2 linked regions of the Kluyveromyces lactis genome follow. The protein of the gene in region 1 binds, or shares a complex with, the protein of each later gene. Links are inferred from orthologs where the notes say so. Each region holds a gene or a part of one and is shown on either strand. Other genes may lie near its edges.

What was found.
Region 2: SPP1 (region 1) and SHG1 share a complex: the UniProt entries of both Saccharomyces cerevisiae proteins name them as parts of the set1C/COMPASS complex. The link is inferred for Kluyveromyces lactis from reciprocal best matches to the Saccharomyces cerevisiae genes SPP1 and SHG1.

Annotation. Positions count from the first base shown.
Region 1 is NC_006040.1:618,735-621,378, reverse strand, and holds SPP1 (Spp1p), read right to left. Parts: upstream 1,750-2,644; coding exon 721-1,749; downstream 1-720. Other genes in the region: KLLA0_D07282g (uncharacterized protein), read right to left, coding at 1-264; MCP1 (Mcp1p), read left to right, coding at 2,093-2,644. UniProt on the Saccharomyces cerevisiae protein: Component of the Set1C/COMPASS complex that specifically mono-, di- and trimethylates histone H3 to form H3K4me1/2/3, which subsequently plays a role in telomere length maintenance and transcription elongation regulation.
Region 2 is NC_006042.1:196,914-198,585, reverse strand, and holds SHG1 (Shg1p), read right to left. Parts: upstream 888-1,672; coding exon 501-887; downstream 1-500. Other genes in the region: POP4 (RNase P/RNase MRP complex subunit), read left to right, coding at 1-454; KLLA0_F02167g (uncharacterized protein), read left to right, coding at 1,141-1,672. UniProt on the Saccharomyces cerevisiae protein: The COMPASS (Set1C) complex specifically mono-, di- and trimethylates histone H3 to form H3K4me1/2/3, which subsequently plays a role in telomere length maintenance and transcription elongation regulation.

The sequences.
Region 1 (2,644 bases):
AGCTCCAATAGGCAGCTGTACACCAATCTCGTATATTTCGCTCCGTTGCGAATAGTAAATAGACGTGTTCAATAAACCCTTATCTGCCTCTTCCGAGATAAGTTCGGTGAACAAAACTCTCCTTTCAGGTGACTGGGCACTTTCAGAAGGGCTAAAGATTTTAGGTTGCAATGTAGAGATATGCTCATACAAGGATGGGATAGTTTTCTTCCAGATCTTGAACTCTTCGTTCTTAACCTTGTTTGTTCTGATATCTGTTGCCATATTTTGTTTGTAAGTTTATGTGTTTAAAAGCTTCCTCCAAACGCTTACCACAAAACCAATATCTTTGAAACTTACAGCGAGAGAATAGAGGTTCCTAATAGGAGATACAATTATAAGGTATGTCTGCTATCTTTTGTCCTGCCCCTTTATATTTCGTAAAACAACCAGACCTTAATGGTGATATTGAGCTCATTGGTTTTTCATTTTTATATTGTTTTCTCATAGAATGAATAACATGGTAAGTGACTTTAACTATGTGACGATTAGATGAATTAGGTTTACGATAGGATAAAGCTTATATACGTTCAATTATTGGACTAGAAGCATATGAAAAACCTGATGTTTGTATTAGGTTAAATTATTTATACATGCTTTTCTTGCTAGTTGATGCTACAAGTTAAATATAAGCGTTTCGCCTTCATTGTAATGACAGAAAAGTGACACATTAGATATGAGCTAGGTCTTAACACCGGGTAGGACGCGATTGGACATCTCTTGTTCGAAGAATGAGATTCTCAATTGGTTCGTTCTGACGCTAATTAGTAAATCGAGTCTTCTTTTGACGTTTTCTAGAGAGTCCTTCTGTTCCGAGAGATCGTTTTGGGACAATGTAATCCAATCCTGATGCTTAGCACATTTTGTCTTTACACAAACACCGTCAACTGATGTGATATTACTGTTTTCGTCTTCTTTCAACTGAAGTAGCTTATCTAAAAACTCCTCAACTGACCGAGGGATCGTGAACTCATTATGGTAGCCGCATATTGTAACTTTACTTGCACTTTTCGACTTCTTTCGACCTGTAGGCTGATTGAAATGTGGGGATAATCTCTCGTTAACTTCACCGATCCAGTTGACGTATTTCTCTATTACTGCATCTTCTTCATTTAGTTTTGAAAGCTTGACCGAAACCAACTCATCGTGTTCGTTAATTAATTTGTTTAAATGCTGATCATTTTCTAGCAACTTGGAATATTGATCTTTGGATAAAGGTGACGTGACTTCTGGAAGCTTGTCTCGTCCTAGCGTTTTAAATTCCTCCAATGATGTTGTCTCGTTTAGAAGCTGTCTCAACAATGCAATCTTATCTACGCCAGGTAGATTTAACTTATCAACAATGCTTTGAACGTATTGAACAGCATGTTTCTTTGAACAATATTTGCTTCTTGAATTGGCATCACACTCTGTATAGCATTCAGGGAGCCTGCATTTCCTCTTCCAAAGAGTTTTCGGTAGTTTGCCGCCATTTATCAATGCCGGTCCTGTAATTCCAGCACTACAATACGAACAGTAGAATGAAAAAACGAGATCTCTATATTTCTCGGGGATCTTTAAACAGGAAAAATGAAACCAATCATCACATCCATCACATCCTACCATCAACTCCCCAGTGTCTGGTTTCTTACATATACAATAAACTTCTTCCCCAGTTTTTGGGTCGTGTTTCCTGCTGTCATACCTGGGGCACCAACTAGGTAATGACATCGTGAATACTGTAAATTCAATCCTATACTGGAGTTATCTTATGATGATAAATATCTAGGCAGAAAAAATGAAGTATATTCTTTGTAATATTCAAATGCAACCATTCATGTACCCTTCACAGGCCATATTTGTGTTATTTCTCTGTTTATTTTACCTTCATCGATTCGTGTAATGGTTTTTACATTTTAATATTCCTTTTCTGATGCAATGTGTAAAGATGGAATGTAATGAATAAGCCAACATCAAATTAAGAAACAGATATACCAAGATTCTCAGAAATATCACTTGCCCTTTGAGTATATGAACAAGTGCGTGATTCGCTGACTTATAATTGATAAACTTCATGACTGCTGCGAAATTGACACCGTTGAAGCCCATTCCGACCAAACACATCGACCCCGATTTAGCAAAAACCCCCGAGGATGCCAGCGTCAATTTAGTGTTGAATATTAAGAAATGGCTAAGGTGGACGCAAAAATGGTCTTTATTCCCTCTAGTAACGTACTTTCCGTTACACGGTATCAATGCCCTAATAATTCCTGCTCTTGAGCCCTCCTCTTTTCCAAACGATGCTTTAATGATGGTTAGAGAACTCACATCTGGACTTGGATCTAAGTTGATTTGGACTGGGATATCAATACATATATTATCCGGATTTGCCTTGAGAATAATGAGGAAGCTGCCTACTTCTTCGAAAACACATAATGCCGAATCCTTGCTGGATACTCAGTCACTTGCACAATCTAGAATTGGTCTTGTAGGTGGTTTAAGTGGGTACTTTATTGGGATCAAGAGAAACCTTCAATATAATCCACAAGAGCTTACAGGATGGTTGTTAACTCCAGTATTATTCTTTCATGGTGCCCTCATGAAATGGCTGCCAAATACGGCGAAA
Region 2 (1,672 bases), on another chromosome or scaffold:
GCAACTGCCGAATTTTGAAACTTTCTCCTCCATGTTCGAAGATATATGGTGTCCATACATGAAAGAATTGTTGAACATCCCAGATAATCACAAAGTTGGAAATCCATTACCTTTGAACTCTCAGCAAACTTTGATCAAGCTCTCTATGGCTGATTATAACGGGTGTAAGTTGAAGGTATCTAAATCCAAAAACAAGTCATTAACTGGGAAAAATGGTATTGTAATATGGGATGCTCAAAAGACATTCATAATCATAACGAAAGGCGGATTAGTCGATGAATTGAAAAGCATACCGAAGAAAGGAACAACTTTCGATTTCGAGATTCCAATCAATGAAGAAGAATCTTTAGCCTATACAATTCTTGGTGATAGATTTAAATATAGAAGTGTTGATAGAGCCGGTAGAAAATTTAAGAGTCGCCGTTGCGATGACCTATTATATTACATTAGTTAACGAAGTAAAATATATATGTAGCAGCCTTGCTACTTTATCTGTTCAATCAACTATCATTAGTTTTGGCTTCAAGGATAGTTCTTATCTTTTGTCTCGTCGTCGCATCGTCAAGTGAATCACTCAGAAGCTTCTCCACATCGATATTTGACGTGTTTAAACTCTTGAATCCGTCTTTAAATAATTGGCCCTCAAGAAGAGCAGTCGTGGTACCTCTGTTCTTGAAAATTAAAGACTCATCTTCATTTACCCTATCACGAACTAAATCCCTTACTCGGCTCTTTATGAATTCGTCCAAGCTAATATCACCCTCTACATTTTGAGATAGTATTTCATTCTTTAAACTGTCTAAATGACCCTCCTTCTTAAAAGTTTCCGCCAAATATTTGGCAGGATCTAAAGACTCTTCTTTCAAATCGTTACCATTACTATTCATGCCGTGTACTACCCTTAGGTGATTGTGAAACCATCAATACCAGACCAAGGTAGCAATTTCTTACACTGAATTGCAAAGAAAAGGTCTGCAAAATCGCCAAAATTTCCAGTTTTTTGGCCAAGACAAGATAGTTCAATAGTCAAACCTCCATTCAAGATGCACTTCAACAAAGAAGTGGCAGGAGCAATAGAGCTTCTTGTTATACGTTGAGCCCTGTGTATGACACCTGAAAGATATGAACTATTAACTTCCCATGAATATTCGAAACGGAAAAGAGCTAACATGGTTCACCTACGGTAATTTAGTGAATAAATCAGAGGATGAGTTAAAAGATGTGAATAAACGACTTACACGATGGATTGACCAACTAAGGTACTCGGATGCTAATGGATTGGACGACAATAAGAACCGTTTACTCGATGTCACAAGAGGTTTCTTACAAAGCTTTGACAATGAAATGCAGCATATGACTAACACTATTGAAAGTCCATTGACTATTGGGAGCTTGGCAAAACACATCCTAACAATAAAACTTCAACTAAGGAAAATACAGCCTCTTTTCTTACCTTTAGAGCGAGCACTACACAAACTCGGGTTAAATATACGACATTACTCACTTCTCGTACAATGGCTGGTCACCATTGTTGGATATAAATTATATTCTGAGTTGAACGATCTAATTAGAAGAGGGTTTGAAATTGAGGTTGAGACAAGATCCATATCGAATGACCAGTTTTATGAGGTTTGCAAGTTATTTTCAGACTTAGGATTTGATTCACATTATC